2 linked regions of the Drosophila melanogaster genome follow. The protein of the gene in region 1 interacts with the protein of each later gene in a biochemical or structural test. Each region holds a gene or a part of one and is shown on either strand. Other genes may lie near its edges.

Region 1 (8,791 bases):
TTGTATCTTGTATCTGGTATCTGGCTTCAGGAAGTGCTCCATCGCATTTACATGTGCGCCGTTCTCCCTCTCTCGCTCTCCAACATATGTATTTGTAAATTTACACACGCCCCTTTCTTTGCGCCACCGATTCCGCCCCTTGGCATTAACAGATTCTTAAGGCATGATATGATCATCAAGTTGAGTTACGTTTCTTTGCGAACTATTTGAAACTATCTGTCACGATTCCTAATTTTAAGTTGATATAAGAAAGAAATTTTGTACTTTTGTTACAAAAGAATTACCCTTATTAGGATTTAAACTTCAATATTATATTCCATTTCACATCTTTGGTAAGATCTAATAGACGTATAAATATTAAAGCAATTTGAAAATATTTTACTAATTTTCTTTGCGTGCACTCGCTTCAGTTTCCGTCAATCTAAGTCGCACTACAAGCTTCCAACAGGAATGCTCTGTGGAAATCAGTGAAAAGATCTGAAAAGAGGGCTGGGGGCAGGTACGTTGTGCATATGTATGGGTATCTGTATCTGTATCTGTTTTGTGTCGGCTTGCCGATCGAAAGTCGTGCGCTTTCGCGGCTGCATCAATTACGTCGTTAAATTAATCAGTATTCCTTAATCTCAATAAATTAGAGATAACGCTTAAGCGATATTTTTGCATTTTAAATGCCACACGCTACCGTGAGGGGGGGGGGGGCGGTGGTTGGAGGGAAGGGGGAGGTTGGAGAAGTCGAACCGGTACAGTTATTGGAAATGGGTCCAGTACTACGACATCCCGAAAGCCTTCACATCGCCGTCTACAGAGTCTGCTGCTCACATGGGCGACGAAGTGGGGGAGGGTTGAGGTTTAAAGTATTTTTATAAGTATTAGATATTAATATTAACGTACTAATAATTGAATCAATTATTACTCTGAAACTAACTTATTTATTTTTAGTATACTTCCAATAAGCCCCTCCCCTTAGCCCGCTTTCTGAGTACGCCACTGCTCGCAGAATTCCATGTGGCCACATTAGGGGGGCTCGCTTTTGACAAACACATGCGCACATAAGCATATAAGCATAATTCCGCCTGCCAGCGAGAGTTGATGTTGGTTGGGTGTCTTTTAGAGTCTTGATAGCGCCCCATCAACATCAGCGTGCGACTTCGACAGCGACACACCAACGTCACAAAATCTCGTTTTAGCCAAAGTGGCAGTGGCACAGCAAATACCGTTTCGGCCACAGTTGATCAAGCGATTATTGGGGAGGTGTTCGGTATTAGGTCACCATTGCGAAATGCTTTAATAGTGACTGATATGTATATGTATGTATTTGAGTAAATATATTATCTAGTATTCTTTGGCGCATAAACCACTTCTAAATCAATTAGGAATCACAATTTCTACTATCGCTGCCAACGAGTTAGGAAAACAATCGTGTTTCTTACTCCCTCGCACCATCTCACACTTGCAGGGCTGCCTAAAATGGTTGAGTTAACAAATTGTTAGTAACAGTGTTCAAATTTCCATATGAAACAGACACACACTGTCTCAGTCTTTGCTGGTAAACAATCGTCGGGCGAGTCAACTGGAGTCCAAGTTTGAGACCGCTATAATATGCCAATATAGCAATATACCACCACCCCCTTGCCATTAACCCCTTCGATCCATCGACGATATGCCAACACAGGCGAGACATTAAAACAGAAATTATAATTTTTTGAAGGCCAAGCGTGTGTAGAGCCACTCCGGATCGGCTCCACTTGATTTGGATCGCCTGGCTTTACTTTGGATCGAATTAGCCGGAGCATCTGGTGCTAATGCCCTGCTAAAGGGTGGCGTTTATGTTTTTTGCACACTACTCACTAAGTGCTATTAAGATCTAATAAACTGTATTGATAACGATGATAGCTGGTTGTACAACTGGGCGTATACGTAATTTACAGAGTATTTAACTGATTATCATTTATAGCAATGAAATTAAATAATTATTTGATATGTGCTGCGGTTAAACAATGTTCTTTTTTTATGTAGTTAAATAGTTATAGTTAAATAGTTTTTAAAATGGTCTAAATCTAGTTCTATCTAGTTCTAGAGAGTTTGCCAAGCATTTAGGCAGTTCGAGACCTTTGAAACTTGAGCGTCGCTTGTAGAAAGAACCCCTTTCGTTTTCGGCACTCTGGCGCCCAGAAAAGCTCCTTTCGAGATTTGGCGCGCAGTTTGAAACCTGAGTTTAGTGCCTTGCGTGTCCAGTTTGTCAAATTTGGTTGTGATTACGAGACGGAGACCGAGACGGCGACGACAGTTAGCCATTCGCCACGCGCCAACGCAAATGAAACGCTCTATACATATTTTTGTATATTTTCTGTTTTTTTTTGCCGCTGACAATTATGATCAAGTATTAGCTGGCGATAGCTGAAACGTCTGTGTAATTTCAATGGAATGGAATGGGAAGTGGGCGGCCTATTGATACACTGCTCGAGTGATTTTAACTTTTATCTGATCATTCAAACGCATAAATTAGTCTTGAGAACTTCAATTCATTTGATACTCCAGTTAACATGCTATTTACATGCTCATTTAAATGGTAGTAGTGATTTATAAGCCCACTTCCAGATGGAACTTACCTATACCAACGTGTTACTTATCGTTCTTAAGCCAACTTAATAGCATTCTAAAATATATATGTATCTTTTGGCGGACTTATCTTCTTGTTGTTCTCGCATTCCAAAATCTCTATGTACATGCAAACTTTTATTGTCATAACTCGGGACTTTGCAGACTTTGAGGCCTATTTAATAGAGCTATAATCTTACAACAAAAAAAAACTAAAAGAGCTTTTTAAGCAATAAAAATATTCTGAAAAATTACAAATTAACAAAAAATTACCCAATGAAGCCTGCAAATTTGAAATCTTTAAGATCCTAGATATGCCAAGATGCACCCTAAAGTCCTTAACTCATCTCCTTGGCTCGTTTCTAATCCCCCCTCTCGAGGGATCGAGACGATCGCATCGGGTCGGTCTTTAAGTTTGGATGATCCATAAACTGTTGGTTTCTCCGTCCTCAGCGTCTAGACTTCATTAGCCGTGTAATGTTGCGGAATTTATGTGGCAGGCACATTAAAATAACACCGATACACACTCTCATGGACGCGAACGTGTGTACAAGTATAGAGATATCGGGCCTAGGCGAAAAATGAAATTAAAAAAAAAAAAAAAACTGGCACCGGGAGGGGCTTATTTTTCGGTGGTCGGGGATGCGGGGGACTTTGACCATAAAATACATGCTCCCAAAAAGCTCGCACACTGCAAGAGATGCGGGGCACTTCTGAGTCCCATATTCATATGCACAAATGTGCATTGCTGGCATTATCAGTAGAATGCAATTTCGGGAAATTTTCCATCGCATCACGAGACAATGAACGTAAGAGAGAAATGGAGCCTCAAAGAGGGAGGGAGAGAGAGAGCTTGAGTGAACGAGCGAGCGACAATCGCGAGATAACGGCTGCCTTATCAGCAATGCCGACCGCCCCATCACCCCACCCAAAACGCCCAACCACCACCCACCGCCGCCGTTCCCTTTCCTCCATCGTCGAGAATTTCGAGTTCAGAGCAGCGCGACCGAAATGAAAAGAAACAATTTAAATTCCAAATGTATAAAATAGGTAAACTATGGCTTTTATTTATTAATATTGACGGGGGCACAAAGGCGGTCACCTCAATAGTGAATAACATGTTTTTTATAATGAATACTTTTCAAATTGTTATTAATATGCAATGACGTCTTAAATGTTTCACTGCAGCTGAACTTTATTCTTTTCATTAAAACAGTCACCCGTTATTAAAAATAAATAGATTAAGTTTTATATTATTAAATTTGTAAGTATTGAAACAATTCCTTTTTTATTTTATACGAATTATCATTTAGTTGGGGTTAATATCCCTTAAAGAGAGAAATTTGTATGCTTTAAGATTTAAAATATCTATTGCATTTATAGCTATAGCTATAACTTCTCTTATTTCACGCAGAAAATACTCAAATAAAACATATCGATTTGGCATACCCCACTAATTTTTTGGCCCCAAGTGTGTGAGAGTGTGTGAGACGAAGCGCGCCACAAACATAAAAAAGCGGTGAAGTGAGCGGTTGTGGAACGTGAGTGGATGCTAAGAGCAAGCTCTCACATACGCGGACATAGGTCGCACACACACACGCACAGACCGCCTTTTTGCGCCGCCGAAACGAACACTTTTACGAAGGCGACGGCGAATCAGTTTCAGTTGTCAGTTCGCATCCAACTAGAAAGCAGTTAACGAGTAGTCTGTGTTTTTTCGCTTGCGGTTAAAAGCCACGAGGTCGTTCATCGTTCATCGTTTTCCTTTTCAACTTCAAGCAAAGCAAATATAAACCAATGCAAAAAACGCAGTGATCTTTTGAGGCCCAAATCGTTTGGGGCCGAACACCGTTGATTCTAAAACGCAAATGTAGAAACAAATCAAGAAAGTGGAAAATAAATATGTTTCGCTTTCAAAACATGTGAATGTGCCGAACTCAAAACTGAAACGTAGAAGGAACGCGTTCGTTTTTTACATACGACAATCGTATAAAATAAGAGAAAAGCTCCAAAACGTATTAAATAGCGATGCTTGGATGATCTTCGTAGCAGTCACGTTGTACATACAAATACATACATATGTACCTACTATATGGCACATAAAATACGTTACGCACACTAGTGGCGAATAAAAAGCGAATTGGAGTAAGCTCCGAAACGTGTTTATATTAAAATTTTTTACCCATTTGAACTTTAAACAACTTTTCGACTGCGCCGCACGGTTTTCATTGAATTCTCATACGAATTCCAATTAAGTGTTGTGTGTGCGTCCAATTGGCATGAATTGATGACGTGACGTGATCGCTCTCTTCGCTCTCTCCCTCTCTTTCTTCGGCACACACACATACACACACTACGCTCTTTAATCGCGCCGCTCTCTTCGCGCTCTTTTTATTTGTTTATTTTGATTGTTGTTATATATATATTCTAATTTACCGTTTTTACAATCGTCTTTAGCTTAAGCAAAACCGCCGCCCAGCAACAACAAGAAACCCATTTAATGAGTGTGTGTGTGTGTGAGCAGAAAATTATGCCAACAGAATTCTAAAAAATATATATGTATATATTTAAATAACCACTAAAAATCAAGAAATCCGCACAAGTTTCGCTCAAAACAACAACACAATCATATATACTACCCATAAAAAAAAAACAAACCCATAAAAAAGTGCAAAGCAACCAGGAAAATAAAGTAAAACAGTGCCAGTTAACAACAGCAAACGGCGATCAACAAATCCCACCGGCAAAATCAACAATTTTTTAAATCGCAATCAACAAGGAGCAACAAATTAGCCAGCTATTTCCCATTGCAAACATTTGGCGGGTAAATATTATTAACAATTACGAGTAGGTGTACTTGATTGAATGAAAAATGTCATGTTTTTTAAGTTCCTAAATTCGATTCGAATCTAATCGGCAATTGATTGAAATATTCTAAAAGTCAAATTTTGTTTCGTCACGCGATTAAAAAAGTAATTGAAGCAGTGCTTTCCTACACATCAATTAAAATTTAAATTAAATGGTATTTTATGTTGATTACAACAACATTTTTTTTAGTCGCCACAATAAAATATTCATTCTTCCGTGAAATATTTCCAATATAAATTGCTATTGCTATATTTATAAAAATAAGCTTTGATAAAAGTTAAGAGGTTTAATAGAAACTAGAGTTAGGTTCTTTTATTTATATTGGTGTTTAGAATTTTAGATAGGAAAGCTGGACTTTTTGTTGTGTTAAAGTAGTCACATCTATTGAATTTACGACCCAAATTTTAATACAACCGATAGGGAATGTGATTTATAACCTTATTCGAGTAATTCCTAGTTTCACTTTCAAGATCAAAACGACTAGAATCATAAAGTCGGTCACGTTCGGCGCTGCAGTGTCGCTCCAATAGATGATCTTTCAGTTCGTGTGGGTTTTGATTAGTCCGTTTTGGTGTGTTACTTGTCATGGGAGTGGGCAGGGGAGATCTTAATTAGAGCAGCGCTGATAATGGCTCTAAAAATAGAGCCCCAGCGCCACACTGATAGCAGAGCTTGAAGCGTGTGTCGTTTGCGTGGAGCTCATTTCTTTCGTTCTGTGTTTGTTTGCTCCCCCGATTTTCGTATGCGATCCACTAAGGTCGATTTTGTTGCCATATTTTGCCAGCGATCTCGTATACGCACCGTTTTCAGATGCTTTTGAATATTCTCTTGACATCAGTATTGACATTGAAATGTGATTAGGTTTAATTTTCATAAATGGGTTGATTCGCCACTCGGTTAGCTGTCGAAAGAGGCTTTTTTATTCCCCATTTACAGATAAGGCTTTTATCTATTCGCAATGTGCCAAGGTACAACAGCAGCTGATGGCCCAAAAAAAGTGTACATATAAGCCTATACACACATCTGTATAGTCGTCCTATGTGCTTGCGATTGTGACTTTTATCATATCTTGAGTGTTTGCTAGCCACATTGGTGGAACGTGCCAGTTGATAACAAGAAAGTGTGCGAAAGTTTGTCTAAAAAGCTGTAATTGAAGCAGGGAAACCGGGAAGTCAATTAATTTTGAGAGACAACATTAAACGTATTCTTCGTATTCTAGTATTCTTCAAGAATTAGTAAAGCTCTTACTAATAAGCTCGTTTGAGAATGACGATAAGTTATATCGATAATGTCGATTTTACCGATAACCGAAAAACGTTAGTAATGGAAATTTAATGATCATTAAATGAGAGCCACTACATATTGTTTTGTTTAGAAAGATATAGTCGGAATACCAGTAGTTATTTCTTAGTATTATTTTGTGATTTTTAAATATTCTACTCAGATGTGTAGAACTTTTTTTCGAACGCTTCTTTTTGCTTAATTTATTTCGTTTTTCGCGCCGACCCCAAAAACGTTAGTAATGCAAATCGATTGCGTTTGCGAAGTCAGATGATCCCATCCATGATTTCCATGCGTCAGTTGTCCCAGCTGTCAATCGAAGATCGCCGTTTGGGGGCTCTACGTTCCTGGTTGACTTCGCCATCGGTCGAGTGGAATCGAATCGTTCGTTTGCTCTTTAATTATTGTAATGAATTCAATAAACATTGCAGGGCCTCTGCCGTTCATTTGCATTTGCGTTCGCACTCGCTGCATTCTGAACTATTGCACATTGCCTGGTCGGGCCTCTCCTTCTCTATATAGCGATATATATGTATATGTATATGTATATATAAATATATAGAAATCTACATATGTATTCATTTATATATATGTAATTCTCTATTTCTCTTAGTTGCTCTAGAAGCGCGTGATTCTCTCGCAGATCCACGTGCCGCCAGATAACTGCACTTTCAATAAGCTTTTATTTGAATAAGCTTCCGCGATAATTGACTTAATAAATTATTAAATATTAACAGCGTAGAAAAAACCAGAATGCAATGACTGACATGGCATCTCCTTGTGGATTTTCTAATGCCAAGTTAATAGGAAAATCATGCAAAATAGCTGGAAAGTGCATTAGGGCCCGACTGAGCTCACAAAAATGTCTTAATATATCATTTTCAATCACTGCATTACCAGATTCCTAAGTCTTAGTCACTTTCCAATGATTAATATATACACATATAAATTATTGTTATTTATTTCCCAAAACTAACTTTAATATCAAGCAAAAACGCAGTGGTACAGAAAACCAACAATTAAAGCACAGTACAAATAATATGAAAAAGAGCGCAGATTGAAAGTGCCACAAAAAAGATTTGTTGTCCAAGGTTTATGCTTGGCATTGTAAAGGGGTTATTGTGGCGTTGCTTGGGGTCAGAGGTTTGGAGGGTGCCCACCGCGATAAGCAGCTGGTCGCCACAGAGGGAGAGGGATACAAACAGATAGAAACGGGTGCCGGCGAGTGGAGCTGCTGCTCCACATGGCAACAGTTGCTGGCTGGCGGGGAGTGCATAAATATGATGTGCATTGCTTTCGTTTCAGCTCTTTATCGCTTCTTTATCTTTGGGGTTGCGTGATAAGAACGCACTCGGAAAAAAAGCGACAGCACAAAGTGTCGACAGGGAATTATTGGGAATTATTACAGGGAGTTGCGAAGTTGAAAACCTTTAAAGTGAAATTAGAAAAGTGAATCAATTATATTTTTTATTCAACAAAAAAGGAAGCTTAACTTAACACAAAAACACTTAAAGCCCGATCAAACTTTTACTGTAAGATTATAATAATAATACCAGACCAATATAATTTTAAGTCGATTTTTTTTCAATATTAGGCTTAACTTTCCTTTAACCGGAAGTTCGCCCATGTACCGTTTTAACCTGAAGTTATAACTAGTCCCTTGGCAAGCCGAACTCGTCGCTCTCGCGTTATATTGCTTTATCAGCAGGTTAGTCCATGACGAGTTGATATTGCTGGGCATAATTCACTTTCGAAGGCAAAGGTCGTTCGGTTTTATGGAGGGTGACACAGCACAGCACACACATTTTGAGATCCCCGGCACACCGGAGTGGCCGACAAGTGGGTTCGATGTGGCCTCGTCATCGTCACCGCGCCATCGTCATTATTATGATCATCATGGGGTCGCGAGGTACTTGAGATCATGGGCCTGGAACCGAACCTGGGCTTTGGGATTGATACCGTCGCCGTTGTCGTCGTCGTCGTCGTCGCCGCCGTCCTCTTCATCTCGAAGTCGGCTCATTAGGCAGGGTAGACCGGACCAGAT
Region 2 (6,804 bases), 6.6 Mb from region 1:
TAAATAAGAAGGTGGCGCCGGGTTACTTGAAAGAAAACATATGGCGATATATGTACCGATAATTGTTTTGGTGTCGAATTACGGAAATTACTAAAAATCAACCGCCCACCCGTTGATAAGAAGGCGACCCCTTCCCTTGGCTTTGCCCTCGAGATGATCAGAGATCTGGATAACATCCATTGATGCACTGTAAAACTGAGTTGGTTCTAACCGCCCTTTACCACATGGGATAAAATAGAAAAGCAGCCTCTAAAATCGTCGGTTCTTGTTAATTAAAACAAAAACGCTGACTTTTATTTAGTATGAATCACACAGTCATAAGTTGTTGGCTGGGGGTGGGAGGGGTCAACTTGAAAACAAAAACAAGAATTCAGGGTCAGCCAAGGCGACCTATGAATGCCCTTACGTGTTTTTTTTTGCAATTTTAGGCAGTTGAATGACTGAAGTAAGCAGGATTTATAACGAATTCGATATGGCCGTTGAAAGAAAAGTTTCCATAATGAAAATCTAAGCCATTAAGGCATATTTCAGAGCCAAATGTTCAAATTCCGTGACCGAACGGGTGGAGTTGATACCGCGGAAAGGGTATAAAAAAGTTACGCGGCACCGATGTCTCATCTCTAAGTCGCGATGCCACAAAAATGGAAATTGCAGACAGTCAGAAAAGTCTTGAAAAGCACACGGATTGGCAAGTTTTCATCGAAGTTTCACTTGCATTGTGGCGCAGCTCGTTTGTTTTTGTTTTTTGCTTCCATTTTGGCCAGCCCTCGCCTTTATAGCGATTTTTTTTTGGGTGTGAGCTGCGCAGTTTACGCTGCTCCTTACTTGATTCTCTGCACCGGCACCTTCAGTTGGCCTCTGTCGGCCATTCCGCGGTATTGTTATTTTTCAAACGCACCGTGCAATCGGCTCAAATTTGTGTTCGATTAAGGAATATTAAATTGTTTTTATTTGTATTGTTGAGATCGTGCTGTTAAGCGTCTGTTAACGAACACAGGGTGACTCCTGTTGAACACAGGGCGTTCTAGGCTGGCGCTGGTTAATATCGATAGTGTTTCATTCGATTGTTATATCGATATAGGTTACAGTTGGCATCAGTATTTATAAAATATACACAAATACACGGTGCTAATAAATTCTTGTTCGTAAACAGTCATAACAGGAAATTGCATGTTAAAAAAAAAATAAATAAAAATAATTAACAGTTCCTAAGAATCAAATTCTTTTAGATAAAATCATAGCATACAAAATAAAATTCAACAAAAAGTAACAGTCGATAGTGATTCACTGCTTAACTGATTTAAATAATATCGATATTACTGTTGTTGAGTTGACAAGCAGTGCAAAGTAACAGAAACGATGACCACCTTATCGCGTTTTGGTATTTATATATGTATGCTATCAGAAATGAGATATTTCAGCATCAGTTGGGATTTCAAATATTTCACTTGGGAACAAATTTTTAGATGTGTATGAATAAAAATAATAAATGCGTCTTCCAAATACTTGTTCGGCCTTGTTAAATTAATTTTAATTTATAAATTTAAGCCAATGGACATAAAAATCAATGATTTTGGGTAGATTATGATTTAGTTATTAAGCTGGCTTTAATCTTTGGAGAAAAGTACGAAGCCCCCTGCGTGCGACACTGATTAACAGCATTCACTTGCGATATTTCGGTCACACAGAGCGCTTAACAGCATATCGTGCCAAAATGAGGAGATATATTCTAAAACAGTAAGAGGTTACACTGTTTGTTGACAAAAAGGTAAACAAAGTGAAAATTTCGCAAAATGTGCAAAATAATTAAGTAAGGGTCAGTAAAAGGTGCTACTGGTTAATCGGACCATAACAACTACCCATTTAACACATACCATGCATGACTTGGATATCTCGTGAAGTACACAAACCAAAACAATGAGCGACTCCGACGAAGGTGAGATAACACAACTTTTAGTGAAATTATGCACAATATGCTAGTTTTGCGCAAATTTAGTCAGAGTGCAAATGAGCATTATACGCTTGACTATGCAAATTACCTAAGTGGTGCAATTAAAACTTCAACCAGTTGTTATTGGTTTTTCAACAACACCAGCAAGGGCACAGGGTGACATTGGTGCAATGGAAGTGGGCGCGCAAAAACTTTTTTCAAACAGCCACCCCCCACAGAAGCAACTGGTGCAACCACTGGACCATCCGACACCCACGAAGAGACAAATCAAAACAAATGCCACGCACTCACCCAATGCCACATTCTTGAACAAGTGCAACAGTTGCCGCGCTTCTTGGGCTCCGACTTGCGCAGTGCGACATAAAACGGCCTGGATCAATGACCACAAAAACGTGGCCATCGATTTTCCGCAGTTCAGTTTTTGCTAGCGGCGCGTTCGGTCATCATACCGATGCCAATTAATTTTTGGGGCTTATTCGCACCGATTTGGGTTACATAATGTCATGGAAATTCAGCATGGAACATCCCAAAACTGGAACTGAAACAGCTCTGGAAGCCTGTGACTACTTCGTGGATGAGGTCATTGAGGCATCCTCAATACGGGGTGGGAATTGGTTTATTCCAAAGGTGCTGTGTATTAGTTAACCAAGCAAAACTTATCTTTCACAGATGCCCGCGAGGAAGTGCGTCAGATCAAGCACGGGGAGCTGCGAACGGCAGTGATCTCTGGCGATGAGCGGACTGTGCGGGTGCTGCTGGCAGCTCTTGGAACTGAGCGTCAGATTATAGTCAATATGGCTCCTTCAGGAGCAAACACCCTTCTATTCCTGTGAGAAAAAGTCTTTTAGAATTAGTCCATTTTGAGCCAAACTAATATCGGTCTCGTTTTAGAGCCTGCCAGTCTGGTTACGAGAGCATTACACAGCGATTGCTGGATGCTGGAGCGGATGGTCGCTCCCATGCCGTGACCAAGTACTCACCCTTGTACGCCGCCGTCCATAGCGGTCACTTGGGCATTGCCCGACTGATGCTAGACCATTTTCCAGAACTGATCCAGCAGCCGACTGTAGAGCGCTGGCTGCCGCTGCACGCCGCCTGCATCAATGGACACATCAAGCTGCTGGAACTCCTTATCAGCTACAGTTATCCCGACTACCTCTACCAGACATATCGCGACGAGGAGGGCCAGTGGGAATGGCGGCTCCCCTTCGACGCTAACGCTCATGATGTGACGGGTCAGACGAGTCTGTATATTGCCAGCATCCTAGGAAACAAGCAGCTGGTTGGTGTGCTTCTAAAGTGGCAGCTCCATTGCCGGCGTACGTTGGGCGATTCCGCCAGCTCGGTGAGCACTCCTATTACGCCCACCAGGAAACGTATTTCATTTGGCATTCAGGCTATCATGTCCAAACTGCACATATCTGGAGAGTCAGAAGGACCCGACGACCTAGCTTCACAAGAGTCAACCGAGTGCCAACGGTGTCCCATTAACGTGAATCTGCTATGTGGAGCGGCGAGAGAAACAGCTCTGCTTGCGGCCGTTCGAGGCGGCCACCTAGACGTGGTGCAGTCTCTGCTACAGCACGGCGCAAATCCGAATATTGTAGCCAAGCCAGTTGAGGATCACAACGACCCGAAATGTTGCGAGGAAATATATGGGCTCAGTAATGTCCCCATTGCAGAGGCCTGCAAGCAAAGGTCGCTGGCTATGTTGGATCTCTTGCTTAAGCATGGAGCCCGCGACGATAATGGCACGGCCATTGGAATGGCTATTACATGCGGCGACGAGGCCATCCTGAGTCGTCTTTTGGCCCGACGAGTCCATCCGGACTCAGACTACAAGATCAACAAGAAGGGTCTTCCCACACCAGTGGAGGTGAACGTGTTTTTGCCGTCCACCAGCAACATATCTTACAGTGCTATGTTCCCCAACAATCCAACCATTATTGACTGGCACAGCATGGGCTCCAGTGTCCAGTTGTCTGTTGTAAGGGTTCCCTGGATGGTCAGCGGTGTGTTGCTGCTGAATCCTAAGCTACAGTCGCATCCGCGACTTAATGAGGTTGCTCTGACAGCTATCACGCGAATAGATTTCTCGCACAACGTTCTCACGTCAATTCCACAGGAGCTTTTCCATTTGGTTAGCCTAAGGTTAGTAAAGACAAAGTAATAAGTTTTTCAAGAATTATATTAGTCCTTCATTTAAGGTATTTAAATGTGGCGCAAAACAAGATAACCGATCTACCTGCACCAATAGGCCAGACATATGGGTGTCCGGTACTGGATGAACTCTTTCTACAAGACAACCAGTTAACTACGCTGCCAGCCGCCATCTTTCACCTGCCCGCCCTATCTATATTGGATGTTTCAAATAACAAACTGCAACAGCTTCCCTTCGACCTGTGGCGTGCACCCAAGTTGCGCGAACTTAATGTGGCCTTCAACCTATTGCGGGATCTTCCTGTGCCGCCAATGCAAACTAGCAGTTCGCTGCTGAGCCTAGACAAATTGAATCTGCAATCTTTTGAGGAGCCGCCATCAAACAAACCGCGAAATGTGACTCAGCAACGTCTCACCCATCGCAATCTATGGTCGGCTACTTTGGACATAACCGATAATGACATGAAGTGGCAGCATGAACAAGATTTAGGCGATGGAAAGACAGCTGGTGTGGGCTCCTCCCAGCTAAGTAGCTTAAATATAGCAAATAACCTCTTCACCAGTATCCCCGCTGCTTTGCCCTGTCTGGCTGTAAACCTAACACGGCTGAATATGTCATACAACAGTCTGCGTTCTATGGGACATGTAACCAGTTACCCGGCAACACTTAAGCAGTTGGATCTAAGTCACAACGAGATATCCTGCTGGCCAAGTTTACCGCGAATTACTGAATCGGATCCGCATCTACTGTGCTACAGTTGTGTCCAGCTACCAGAGGGTCGAGATGACGACTACAAGACGGCCTCCTCAAAGGGCAGTAGCTCGTCTGCCACATCGTTTCGCGCTTCGGTGTTAAAAAGTGTTTGTCGGCACAGGCGTCATCTGCGCCTGGAGGCTCTACGCACATTGATCTTGGCTGACAATCTGCTTACGCGCATCCAACTATCAACTGATGACGCCACAACCCTTTTCAATGAAAGTGAGGACGCCGATTGGAGTGTGGTAGGCGTGAACCGGTCTAAGGTGATATTTCCCAACCTGTCTATGCTGGATATGACCAACAATTGCCTGAAGGAGATTCCCGCCTCGTTGCACGAACTGAGCAGTCTGTCAGTGCTGAATATTAGTGGCAACGTCAACATCACGGAACTGCCGCCGCACTTGGGACTGCTGTCGAGACTTTGGAATCTTAATACGCGCGGTTGCCTACTGCAGGAGCCACTGCGCTCTATGATCGAGAGCAAGAAGCACAAGACGATGGACATTGTTGGATATCTTAAATCTATTTACGAAGATGCTCAGCCCTACGCACGGATGAAACTGATGGTGGTTGGTGTGGCTGGAATTGGCAAGAGCACTCTGCTGGACTTACTGCGCCAGGGGGCGGGCTCAGGGTCCAGCTCCAGCTCTCATCGATCGCGCGCCAGCGAAAATCATTGGGCCAAGCGAATGGGACACGCACGCAGCACATCTCGATCTCATCGCCATTCGTCGGCTTCTAGCGCAAACATTTCTACAGTAGGAGTGGACATTGGAACATGGATATGTGAGAAACGAAAGCGAGCACCCGGCTCCCACGGCCCAGTGGTGTTTCGTACTTGGGATTTTGGTGGTCAGAAGGAGTACTACGCCACACATCAGTACTTTTTGTCCAAACGGAGTCTGTATTTGGTGCTCTGGCGCATTAGCGACGGTCACAAGGGTCTGGCGGAGTTGCTGCAGTGGCTTGGCAACATTCAAGCGAGGGCTCCCAACTCCCCCGTAATCATTGTGGGCACACACTTTGATGCCGTTGGTGAATCCATCTCGCCCCAAAAGGCAGAGCAACTGCAGCAATTGATTCGGGAGAAGTTTATCGCCATTCCCGATGCGGAAAAAATTGGGCTGCCACGGGTGATTGATTCCATCGAAATAAGTTGCCGGTAAGTTTTTGAATTATTAATATGACTTCAAAGTCTAAAAAATACCGCTTTGAACTTTAGGACCCTACACAATATCCACTTATTGGCCAACATTATTTACGACACCGCCATGCAACTGCGATCCCCTGGTTCCAAGGAGCCCATGCTACTGCAAAAGATCCCCGCCAGCTACATTGCCTTGGAGGATATTGTGAATGTGATTGCATGCAATCTGCGCGCTGCTGGGCGAGATCCCGTCCTGGATGGTGAACAATATAAGCGCTTGGTCACCGAACAGATGAGATTGCACAACTACAAGAGCTTCCGGGATGCCGCTGAGCTGCAGCAGGCCACTACATGGTGCCACGAAAATGGAGTTTTATTGCACTATGATGATGCTACGCTAAGGGACTACTACTTTCTCGATCCACAGTGGCTTTGCGACATGCTGGCCCATGTGGTCACCGTGCGGGAGATCAACCCCTTTGCTCCTACGGGCGTGATGAAGCTGGATGATCTCCAGATGTTGTTCCGAAGTGTGCAGGTTCAAGGAAATGGAAACAGAAGGTATTTAAATGAGTGTGCATAACTATGTGGTAAAGTATTTTTGTATTAATTAAAATTTCTTTCTTTAAGCTACATTGTCAGTCTACTTAACAAGTTTGAGGTTGCTTTAACGTGGGATTCGAGAACTCTACTCATACCCTCCTTACTGCCTTCGCAGGAGGCAGCTACACCCAATTCAGGAAGCACGGTTAAGCTATCGCAACGATCTCGCGGCCGTAGTTTGGG

Evidence for each region.
Region 2: of the proteins of foxo (region 1) and Lrrk, one has a biochemical effect on the other in vitro, tested with the Drosophila melanogaster proteins (one study listed by BioGRID).

Annotation. Positions count from the first base shown.
Region 1 is NT_033777.3:14,052,686-14,061,476, forward strand, and holds the start of foxo (forkhead box, sub-group O), read left to right. Parts: upstream 1-4,259; 5' UTR 4,260-4,339; exon of another isoform or gene 4,340-4,743; intron 4,744-5,055; 5' UTR 5,056-5,422; intron 5,423-8,791. UniProt on the Drosophila melanogaster protein: Transcription factor involved in the regulation of the insulin signaling pathway. Consistently activates both the downstream target Thor\d4EBP and the feedback control target InR.
Region 2 is NT_033777.3:20,633,721-20,640,524, forward strand, and holds the start of Lrrk (Leucine-rich repeat kinase), read left to right. Parts: upstream 1-1,759; 5' UTR 1,760-1,917; coding exon 1,918-1,936; intron 1,937-2,095; coding exon 2,096-2,368; intron 2,369-2,378; exon of another isoform or gene 2,379-2,467; coding exon of another isoform or gene 2,468-2,555; intron 2,556-2,620; coding exon 2,621-2,780; intron 2,781-2,842; coding exon 2,843-4,102; intron 4,103-4,158; coding exon 4,159-6,033; intron 6,034-6,093; coding exon 6,094-6,579; intron 6,580-6,648; coding exon 6,649-6,804.